3 linked regions of the Caenorhabditis elegans genome follow. The protein of the gene in region 1 interacts with the protein of each later gene in a pairwise test. Each region holds a gene or a part of one and is shown in the gene's direction. Other genes may lie near its edges. The genes, in order: ccm-3, ZK792.4 and F09F7.5.

Region 1 (3,756 bases):
TCTATGATCGGCTATGCCTTTGACCATATATTAATACCAAATACAAAAAAAAAAGATGAAACTCGGTCAGAGAACAGAATTATCACAGGAAATGAGATTTCCTGATTGGGAGTCTATACCTTGAATGTACATGTTCGCAATTTTATTACCTATTTTTTGGAATGGGAACTGGTTTTTTCTCGAAACCTTTGACCAAAGGAAACATCTAGAAAAATGAAATCAGCACATTTTTTGAGAGCAATTTAGAAAAGAAAAGACAATAAAATGAAACAAATTTCAATGTTTTTTTCTCGACTCTATTGTTAATATACTCTGAAGCGTAACAAAGGTGTGAATAGTGGATCTCCTATTGATCGGCAGGAATGACACGGAAGATGAGACGGACAGCCGGGAGAAAAAAGATATTACGGAAGATTTTGAGACGCAGATTGATGGGAATTGGACTTGTGACTTCTTGTTTTCCGGAGATTCTTTACTATATCATAATTTTATTGACAGATATCCTTCACTGGTGGGCTGAAAATATAATAGAGTCCCCAGAAATACGGCACCGGGTCTCGTCGCGAAACACCATCATTAAATAGAAAAGTGAGTGTGCCTTTAGAGATTACTGTAATTTCTTTTTATTGATTTACGAAAAAATAATTTTCCACTAATTTTTCGATGAAGAACTTTTTATTTTTCGAAAAGTTTACAAAAAAAACTTTAATACATCCACTGAAACAAAAATTTGAAGTTACAGTACTCTTTAAAGGCACACACCTTTTTGTGTGCGAAAATTTGACGAGACCTGCTACCGTATTCTTTGGGAAAAATCATGAAATTTATCTGGCCAGATCTGGACAATTATAATTAAAAAAATATATTTTCAGGAAAATCTGATTGAATATTGGAAATCGTTGTTTATTCTCAGAGATTATTATTTGCAAAATCTGCATTTATATGTCTAAATAACACTAGCTAGTGCACTAGGCTAAAAATTGAAAGATTCATTATTTCAAAATTTGCAAAATTTTACCTCCACCGAGGTCTGAGTTGAGTAAAAACATTTTGTTCACATTTTCGCGATTGAATTGATTATTTAAAAAATTAAGCACTAATAAAATATATTTTTAACGTCGAATATTAAAATTTTTCCAAGAACTTTGTTCTCCAGAATTGTTCATCTCGAAATCTGCAGCATCTCTGGTGCCAGCAAGTGCGCTCCAATGCGAACATTTCATTTAAATTTTTTTTTTTTCGTTCTTTTTTTAACAGATTTTATCAATTTTTTGCGATTTTCATTATTTTTTCAAGTAAAAAACATATTTAATGTTATTTCTTATATTTCACAATATTAATTCAACTATTAAAAAACAATTGCATCGATTTCTGGGTGGGTTATCATGCGAAACCGATAAAAACCGTTATTATTATTATTATAATGACTCATAAGTTTCTCCAAGGAATTCGAATTCTGCTTTCACATTCCTTTCCGACCGTTCACTTTCTTCCTATATTTACTCTCCTCGTTTTCCTCTGTATTTCTCCAACTTTTCGCCTTATTATCTGCGTCTCTCTCCGCTTTTGATTTCTGTATGTATTTGCGATGCAAATCGATCGTATGCGGGTTTTTCCTTTTTTAACACAGCTTTCTCCTCTTAAAATTCACTCAAAAATCATGATTTTCATTTCAGCAGTTTCACAATGAACGAAGAGGGTGGATATCTTGGAGCGATGACATATCAATGCCTGTACAGTCCTGTGATGGAAAAAATTAAGTGGGTTTCAAGAAATATCAGTTTTTAAACATAATAATTTAAAAAATATATTTTAGACAGCAACATCGTGATGATCCAAGAGCTTCTCTCGCCCTAAACGTAAGCTATTCTATATAAGAATATTTTCTATGAATTTTATACTGTTAAACGAAAAAAAATAAATTAACAAAGAATTATTCAGAAACTGCACACTGCACTGACCACTTGTGAACAAGCTTCTCCGTCGTTTCTCTATGATTTCACAAAAGTTTTGCTGGATGACTCGGAATTGAGCGTTAATCTGCAGGAATCCTATCTGAGAATGCATGACACCTCGCCGACAAATGATTTGATTGTCAGTGGATATGAGCAGAATGCTGATTATAAAGAGCTCACGAAACGGTAATCAAATTAGATAATTTTTTTCAAAATTCCTGGCGTACGAAAAAAATTACAGAGCAATCGAGCTTCGTCGTGTTCTGTCCCGGGTTCCCGAAGAAATGTCGGATCGTCACGCCTTCCTGGAGACCATCAAGCTCATCGCATCATCAATCAAGAAACTTCTTGAGGCAATAAACGCCGTCTACAGAATTGTTCCACTCACTGCGCAGCCGGCCGTTGAGAAACGTAAACGGGAATTTGTGCACTACTCGAAAAGATTCAGTAACACTTTGAAGACGTATTTTAAAGATCAGAATGCAAATCAGGTTCGTGGGAAAAAATGTGCTTTTTTACTTAAATGCGTCGAAATTTGTCCTTGACTCCGAATATCTATGTGAAAAATTCAAAAGCCCCGGTTTTTCTGGGAAAAAATTCGCACTGAAATATAAAATCAGGGAGATTTTTTTTTAATTTTTTCACATCGATATTCGGCAAATTTGGACTTTTTTTTAAAATAAAAACCTGTAAATTTTCCCCAAATCTTGGGAAAATCAAACTAAATTCTTGAATAATATTAAAATCCATTTTTTTAAAACAAATTCTGAGCCTAAATTCAATGTTTGCAGGTATCCGTGTCCGCCAACCAACTGGTTTTCCAAACGACAATGATAGTCCGCACAATCAACGAAAAACTTCGCCGAGGATAAGCTCACCCATATGGCGGCTTATAACTGTGATCTACTAGACGGCTCTTTCCTTTTGCATGTGTTTTACTTTCATTTTTTGTTCACTTAATTTCTTGTTCTCATCCACACACTCATCACTTTATACATCGGATCTGCACACTTTCTTCTTTCTATGATTTTTCCTTTCCCAATTTTCTGTTTATTGACTGAAATTTTAGGAAAATGATTAACGTATTATGCTTTATATGGTTTTTCGGATTTTTTTCACTTCAAAAATATTGTAATAAGTAGCTCAATTATCATTCTTCCTTTCTTTTTCATGTGCCTTTCTTTGATTTTTCCTCGTTTTTTCACCCACTGATGTACTAGATTTTTTTCCATAAGTCGGTTTCTTCTCCAAATAACGTGATAAATTATTCAGAAATTTTTAATATTTTAATTGACTGTATTGCAATTCTTGTTGTCGAAAACTTATTATATATCTAATTAACTTCACTTTAAAAAATTTCAGACCAATTTTAAATTAATTTCAGAATTTAAAAAATGGATGACGAAGAGGATCTGTTCGGCTCGGATGCCGAAGATGACAAGGAGAAGGTGGTAAATCCGGAGGATAAGAAGCACGTGCTGAGACGAGATTTGAGATCAATGGTCTATGGCTTTGGAGATGATAAGGTTGGTAACAGGGCTGTGCAACTTTTTGAATCAAAATTTATTTGCATTTCTATAACAAATTAAAAAGAAATTAAATGAGCGGTTTTTCTAAGATTCCGATTGATAATTTCCTGAATTGTTTATAAATAAATGTTTCAGGAGCCATACGACAAGACCCTGGACACTCTTGAGGCCATTGTCCTAAACTACATCAAAGAGTTATGCCAACTGGCGATGAAAGTTGGAAAACCGGATAAAATGGCACTTGAGGACATTCACTATCTGATTCGTCGTGA
Region 2 (3,756 bases), on another chromosome or scaffold:
TTTTTCCATAGACCATTATGTGTGAAACTCTTCAATTCGAGTCTGAAATATAGTTAAAGTTTAGCTTGATCTTTTTCACCCTTGGTCACAGTTCCTCGGCTCGGACGTAGCTTAAGTTAAAGGCCAGTAGGAGCACCACCCTTACTTCCAGTTCTGGAGTGCATATGGCTTGAGGAACGCATTATTATCCTTATTTTTAGATTTTAGATTTATTTGAAGGTGTTAAAAGGTGTGTTTTCAACTGAAAAATATTTATTATTTCTTTTTTCTACAGTTTGGTTGTGAAATACTTTTTGCTCATTTCTAAATAAAATGTGCTATTAATGTAAGGTAAATTTTCAATACATGGTGCATCGTTAACTACCACTTCTAAGGTTTGAACGCTGATATCTCGAGTTTCTTTTGTTGTATGAAAAAATATGTCGACTGAAAAGTTTATATATATATATATTCTTAGAGTACATTCCAGATAGAATACACTTGGAAAAAATTCAGAACTGTGCAAACAATATTCAAAGAAATTTTTTTCTGACAAGTCTTTTAGATAGATATTTCACATCAATGTTCAATTTTTAAAGTCAAGTATATTTCAAATTTACCATAAATAAGTTCTTGATTTTCCTCAAAAAAATATATTTTCGTCTGATTTGTGCTCAAAACTGTGTTTATTTGAAGTTGCTCAATATTTGTAAGTCTTTTCTTGTGTCGCGCATGTCAACAGAGACACATTCCCTCTCAAACAGTAATTCGGTTTAGTACTCTTCTATTCCACTTTTTCATTTTTTTGTCTGTGCACGTTCCAATTCGTTCACTTTTTGTGCTCGTTTGTGCACATTCAAGAGTGAGTCCTTGATACAAAACTTTTGTCGAAAGTAGTACTTTTACAAGTAATACAGGACTAGTTACTTGTTTAGTCTGAAATATTTGTCGCTTTTTCAACTTTCTGCTTACCGCCTGATTATTGATTACAAAGAATCACAATTTTGAGTCGTCTTAAATAATCCAACCTGCGAAAATCTTAAGTTTAATGGTGAAGTAGCGTCAGTTGGCAGTTTGCTAAAAATACAGAACAGTGGTTTAAAAGTTTATTTAATTGAAACAATCGAAGATGCTTTAGAATTTTCCAAACTTGTCAGCCAAAGTTTTTGCAAATTGTTAAATTTTCAAAGATTTTTTTTTGAGAAATTTCTAGCAAGCTTGCATGTTCGAAGCCCTACTGTTACTGTTTGTTACATACAATTTAAAAATTAATAAAATATAAAAGGTTTTTTATGTAAAATTATGATATATCAATGTGTGACAGCCATTTTCGACTTGTAAATTTTTGTAAATTGAGTTGTGGAGTAAATTGTAAAGTAAGATTGTAAATAGAAATATTAAAAAAACACTGATTTATGTTTTTTTTTAATTTAAAAATTTCTATTTTTTCTATTGTATTTTATTTTCCCGGAGAGTGTGAATTAAAAAAACAGTTTACTTGGCACTGCCTTGCCGTTTGGCTCTTTGATCTTATTTTTTAAGACTAGATAGACTTTGAAATATTGAAATCCAATCTCATCAAGTACAAAAGATCGAACAAATATTCGTTTCGCGCTCTTTTCACGTTTCCTCGCATTTCAATTGACAGGTTATTTAATCATTAATGATCAATCACATTTTAATTTCAGAATTCCAAAGTTTCAATGTCATCAGAACGTAGTGGTCCCAATGGATCATTGGAAGAGTAAGAACACTTATGAAATATGTTTAACAAAAATGTGTATTTCAGTAACGGTGACTATTTGCCATTAGAAGTAATTGGTGAGGAAAATTCTTTAGATGAGAATCATGTGTGTGAAGATGTAATTATGTCAATTACAAATAAGCATGTGCAATGTTTGGCGAGGTATGTAATTTAGTTACTTTTGCTCTCATGCTCCACGTTTAACTTTTTGTTCATTATAGAAATATGATTTCAGAACTATAAAAAAAAATTTCAAACAAAATTTTGAACTTTTATGACAGTTTGAAGACTCGATTTTCTGAGTGGGTCTCACCACGATCTCAGTCATTGAAGCTTCTAAAGATGCCAAAATTTATTTCATTTCTCGCTAGTTTCTTGCCCAAGTTTGGCCTAAAAAGTATTAAGGCAAATGTTGGGCAAAATTTTGGCAAGCCTAGGTTTAGCGGCACCCAAGTTACCGTATATTCTCTATTAGTGCTGCATGCATCACTAATTTCAGGCCCTTTTTTAATGCAGCACTATTAGAGACTGCAGTACTACTGGAGACTGCAGCATTAATTTTCGAACGGCTATTTTCAATTATAGATCACTAGTTTTTAGTCCCAAAAACTCATTTTTAAGCAGAAATTCATAAAAATTGCGAACTTTTGTAACAAAAAAACCCAATAATTCAATTACTTATTATCAAAAAATCATCAAAAATATACAAAAAAAACCAAAAATATCGAAACTGTCAAGTAACTCTTTCAATAGAAAATGGGGTGCAGCACTAATAGAGACTGCAGCACTATTTTTCGGACCCTTTTTGAATGCAGCACTATTAGAGACTGCAGTACTACTGGAGATACAGCACTAATAGAGAATATACGGTATGTTTGAACGACAGACTTTCAAATGTTTAAATTCCAGATTTTCGAACAATGACCTGCTTGCCAAGGACACTATCGGTCAAAATGCTCTTCACATGGCAGCCCGGGTTGGAAATTTGAACATTTTGAAGTGAGTGTAAAGATGCAGATGAAGGAGGGCAATTGAGTGCTTTTCCCTTCCGGCAGATCAGCTCGGAATTGATATGCGTTGGAAGGGGAGATGGAAGAGCAAACAAAAAGAGAAATCAGGTCATTGACGAGAGATTGAGATTTTTTGCAGGTACTTACTGGACAGACTTCCCGAGCTTAGGGACATCCAGTCGACGAATGGTGAAACTGCAGCACACATCTCGGCTGCTCATGGAGGTATTGAGAAGGGGATTCTGAGTTGGAAATGTTGGGAAGGGAGCCTTCTAATCTTATAATGAAGACCTCAAAAAACTTTTTTTTGGACGAGCCAGTTTTTGCGCTTTTCTCAATTTATGGGTGTAAATTACAGAAAACTTTAGATTGAAGAAATTTTCAGCAGCTTTCCATGTGAATGTAGCTCAAATTTGAAGATTTTCAAGTGAAAAAAAAAACCAAAAGGTTTTATTCATACAATTCTCGCCAAAAAGTTTGTGATGAAAATATTTAATTTTTAATTTTTAAATTTGGCTTTGAATAAAGAACAATGGGGAACAAAAGAGTGAAATCCGCGAGCCTTTGAGTAATCTGTTCTAAAAATTCCGAAATTACCATAAAACAAATTTAAAATCTCAATAGCCCTGGCGTATTTGATTTAATAGTTATCCACAATGAAACCTTAAAAATTGTTTCTAAAAAGATAAAATTACTGATTTTGAAATACAATTTTCCTAGATATGCGAGCACTTGAAATTCTTCTTGGCGGCTCCCTAAAATCGACAATGAATTGTGCAATGACCCGTGACGTCAACGGAACATCCATTCTTATGGCCGCAACTGCTCGTGGTGACACTGACATGAGCATCTGGTTGCTCAGAAAATTTGGAAAAGCACTTGCACTTCTCGATAATAACTGCAAAATGCTACCAGTTCATGTGGCAGCTGCACAAGGAAATATTGAGTTTCTTCGTGCCGCAATCAAGTTTGATAATCAAATGGTAAATGCAAGAGATGAATTTGGGTGTACTCCATGTGTAT
Region 3 (3,756 bases), on another chromosome or scaffold:
GTTGGTGAGTTTTGAGCGGTAGGGAGGCAGGCACGAGATATTCAAATAGGCCTGAAAATGTGCCTGTCTGCCAGTGAAGCCCTAGGTATAGTAAGAAATAAAAAAAAAAGAGTATATTGCAATCGATTGCAATCTGGGCACATCTTTTCAAATTTCGAATTTAAAATTGGGCACATCTCTTTGATGGCCGCGAAAATTGGTGGCCGAATATTTTTGGAACTTATTGGAAATTGACTTTTCACAACAACCCGTAAATATGGTGTATGGTGTTTTGCTTACCTGAAAACCAGAGCGGCTCTTTCTCACGCTTCAGAATCAAAATTCCAGCACAACGACACCCTTGATTTTGAAAAGTTATGCCCGGCGGAGCTCTCCGGAAGAATTCAAGAAGTTAAGCATGCTTTTGATGAAGATGGAGTTAGAAATTCCGAAAAGAAAAACGAAAAACTTGGAATGCCATTGGTGATATGTCATAATGATTTGAACGCGTCAAATGTTCTATGGAATAATGAAACTGGAAAGGTAGAGTTGTCCAAGAGGACTACGTGTCATAGAATATAAAATTACTCCTAATAATAAAATTGAATAATTTCAGATCCAGGCATTTATCGATTTCCAGCACGTGTCAAAGGGTCCCGTCTCCTTTGATATTATTCGTATTTTGTGCCTTGGATTGTCAGTGGAAAATCGAAGAGCAAATACTCAAAGGTATCTTTTTCTAAGTCTAAACATTTTCAATAACCGAAAGAAGTAAAAATTGAAATGGCCCGCTTTTTGGCCGAGATTTGAAAATCGGGTTCGGAGATATAAAACACATTTCAAAACAAAGAGTCAGTTTCCATTTTCCAGATACCTGAACCACTACTATACGACCTTCAAATCTCATTTTTCCACGGCTCCCTTCACTTTCTCCCAACTCGAAGAATCCTATCGAACTCACTTCAATTTTGTGAATGCCACGTCACTATTCAGTCTGTCGTATTACTACAAAATGTATAAGGATGAGAGTTTGGATTTGAAAAGTGGAGCTGACGAAAGGGAACACAAAGCTCAGGAGATTTTGAGACGGACTATCGGAATTTTGGATGATATGTAATAGAAGAATATTTTTTAAAGATTTTTATATTATACATTAAAACAAATAAACTACTACTAATATTTGGAATTTTTTAAATTTTGATGATGAACAAAGTTGCTTAAAACATTATTTCAAATATGACAACACATTTTAAATTCTTTACGAAACAAAAATAATCCTAGTAAATCTTCGGTAATACATTAAAAACATCAAAGGTTTCGTAAATCAATGTTAAACAAATTGCGAAATATCGTCCGACTTGCAGTCAAACACTAGAGTATACATATACATAATACCCTTCCGTAACCCGGTTTTTAGCCTCAAGAGATTACTCATCAGATCGACACATGTTTTCTTTTTTCACTTCAACATGCTGCGTCTCTTGTCAATTTGATCTGAGTAATCTATGGGAGATCAGCAAGAACAATTTGCTATTTGCTAGAAATTGATAACACTTTTTGAAATATTTGAAAGGTAGTTTCTATGCTAGATTTTTCTATGTTAATCTGAATTTTAACATTTTTCAATTGATTTTATGCAGTACCTGAAAGTGGTCAAAATTTTGGAGCCATCGAACGACGCTTCAATATTCCGCCATGCTACAAAACTCAAGATTCCTTACAAGCGTCTTTGGGCGGAGCTTGAGCACGGGTGTCATTGGAGCTTCAAACTTCTTGGCTTCCAATTCCAAATGAATCATTCTTTCAACACATCACCTCCTTCTCAATAATTCCTTATCACTACTCTTTTTCCAACTGCTTACACGTTTTTATCGGTTATTTCTCTATTCCCCTTTCTCTCTCAGTTACTCCGGGTGTCTGTTCTCCACAGTTTTTGCAACAACTTGCGTGGTTTGACCATTGATTTTTTTTGCCTCTTGTTACTTTATTCTTGATTTAAGACAGGAACCGGGTTTATGGAAAATGCCCAACGACTTGCCGTTGCTGCCTCCGAAGAATCAGCACAAACACTTGGATAAAACTATGATCTCACTGCCGTCGGATTTCAGGTAAGGAATAAAAGTTGAGGATGTTATGTTAATCCGTACATTCGAATTGGAATGTATCTGCAAATTCGTTCTTGAAGAACATTAGTAGGTTAGCTTCAAGCGGGATTATGACATGTCGACGTTTTAGGCCCGAGAAAGAAGCGGAGTTCTTGCACTCTCCCCTCCCCCACACTCTCTAACCAACCCATTTTTACAGTGTAATAACTTTCATCAAGATTTAGCCAATAGCTGATTGATTGTGCTGATTGTGCTTTTTTTAATTGATATAACATTTAGAAATGAGGAACATTTAGAAACATGAACAGTTTATTCAAAAATATTAGGCTTACAACACTCTACACTTATCTCATTACAACATTCTTTTATTATCATATTGACATCCATAGACTGAAATTCCAAGTTTTAGAAATCAGAAACCTTGGAAACAAAACTTACCATTTTGCTAGGTAATTTAGCTGACACAGCTGGAACCGCCAACAATTCAGTCATGAAAATAATCAGTGATAGAAACAATAATGCAAAACTAGCATACATGTCAACTATGAATATTAAGTTTAAAATTGTTATGTAGTACCTAATCACACGTGGACTAGCAACAATTGATAAAACATTGTTATATATTATAGGTACCAAGCGTTAAATCTTACACTATGGGCTATTGTCGTAAAAAATAAAATAAAATAATACAAATCACGTTACCTGAAATTTTTTAAATTCTCAATTTTTTCGCAATTCGCCATTTTAATTGTTTAAAAAGATATGAGAGGAGGAGAGTTAAGACACTCAGCTTCTCTGTACTCTCCCGTGCCTCCATACGTCTAAAACTTACAATTTTCATACGAATTAGTTTCTTACAATTAGTAGATTCGGAGACGAATTAGTTACATTCGTATTAGTTTTACTCATTGTGTTTTAGGTTTTAAACAATCTATCATAGTCAATTTTTATATTACAGGCATTTGGCTCATGTCGGTCCAATGGGATCATCGGAAATTGAAAATCTTCGGACGAGCGATAATGTGATTGATACGGTTAATGAAAGGTTTGTGATCTACAAGCATTACTTGAATTCAATGTGGATGAATAAAGAATTCAGCAGCTACTACATAAGACCCTCCTCGTCGAATAGTACACTCCGATCGCAGAGAAAAGAAAAAGATGTAGGGAACTATTTAATTACTTTTCTCCAAAAAAGTTCAACTTTTCAGAGAGTTGGACTAGATGATGCTTTCCCATCAGCTTCAAAAAGTGAAGAAGAGGTTGAAGTTGTCAGAGGTTACGAGAATCAACCAACATCCCACCAATACATAAATATTGCTCCACCACGTCCGAGCAAGAAAAATTATAAGGCTCCAGCTCCCCCTACTCCTCCTCCACAGTGAGTATTTGTATGACATTTTCTAACAACACAGTTTTTGAATTAGTTTTTTACCTCAATTCCAAGAAGTACTTCCTTTAGAATTAAGTTTCTTACTGGCGCTTTCAAATTTGACAACTGAATCAAAAGTTGGTTGAGAATTAAACTTTCAGGAACAGCAAGCCGAATTTGATCTTCAACGCCCAAGACGACGAGGAGGAAACATCAGAAATCTCAGAGCAACCTGTAGTTTTTCGGTATTTCTTGATTGGACCCTGAAGTTTAAAAATTTTTCAATTTTCAGGTCAATCT

Evidence for each region.
Region 2: the proteins of ccm-3 (region 1) and ZK792.4 interact in a two-hybrid assay, tested with the Caenorhabditis elegans proteins (one large-scale study listed by BioGRID).
Region 3: the proteins of ccm-3 (region 1) and F09F7.5 interact in a two-hybrid assay, tested with the Caenorhabditis elegans proteins (one large-scale study listed by BioGRID).

The regions. Positions count from the first base shown.
Region 1 is NC_003280.10:10,605,196-10,608,951, reverse strand, and holds ccm-3 (Programmed cell death protein 10 homolog), read left to right. Parts: upstream 1-1,676; 5' UTR 1,677-1,686; coding exon 1,687-1,760; intron 1,761-1,816; coding exon 1,817-1,859; intron 1,860-1,941; coding exon 1,942-2,141; intron 2,142-2,196; coding exon 2,197-2,446; intron 2,447-2,746; coding exon 2,747-2,827; 3' UTR 2,828-3,235; downstream 3,236-3,756. Other genes in the region: taf-13 (Transcription initiation factor TFIID subunit 13), read left to right, coding at 3,350-3,481, 3,620-3,756. UniProt on the Caenorhabditis elegans protein: Involved in excretory canal elongation during postembryonic development. Plays a role in promoting Golgi stability, ER integrity and vesicle transport probably by regulating the activation of Rho GTPase cdc-42. Involved in fertility.
Region 2 is NC_003282.8:11,679,917-11,683,672, reverse strand, and holds the start of ZK792.4 (ANK_REP_REGION domain-containing protein), read left to right. Parts: upstream 1-1,667; 5' UTR 1,668-1,682; coding exon 1,683-1,723; intron 1,724-1,768; coding exon 1,769-1,885; intron 1,886-2,052; exon of another isoform or gene 2,053-2,202; intron 2,203-2,632; coding exon 2,633-2,722; intron 2,723-2,738; exon of another isoform or gene 2,739-2,872; coding exon 2,873-2,958; intron 2,959-3,453; coding exon 3,454-3,756.
Region 3 is NC_003281.10:5,545,131-5,548,886, forward strand, and holds the start of F09F7.5 (CRIB domain-containing protein), read left to right. Parts: upstream 1-1,979; 5' UTR 1,980-2,001; coding exon 2,002-2,087; intron 2,088-3,042; coding exon 3,043-3,129; intron 3,130-3,183; coding exon 3,184-3,247; intron 3,248-3,295; coding exon 3,296-3,465; intron 3,466-3,617; coding exon 3,618-3,701; intron 3,702-3,748; coding exon 3,749-3,756. Other genes in the region: putative kinase-like protein D1044.1, read left to right, coding at 1-4, 328-522, 596-708, 850-1,096.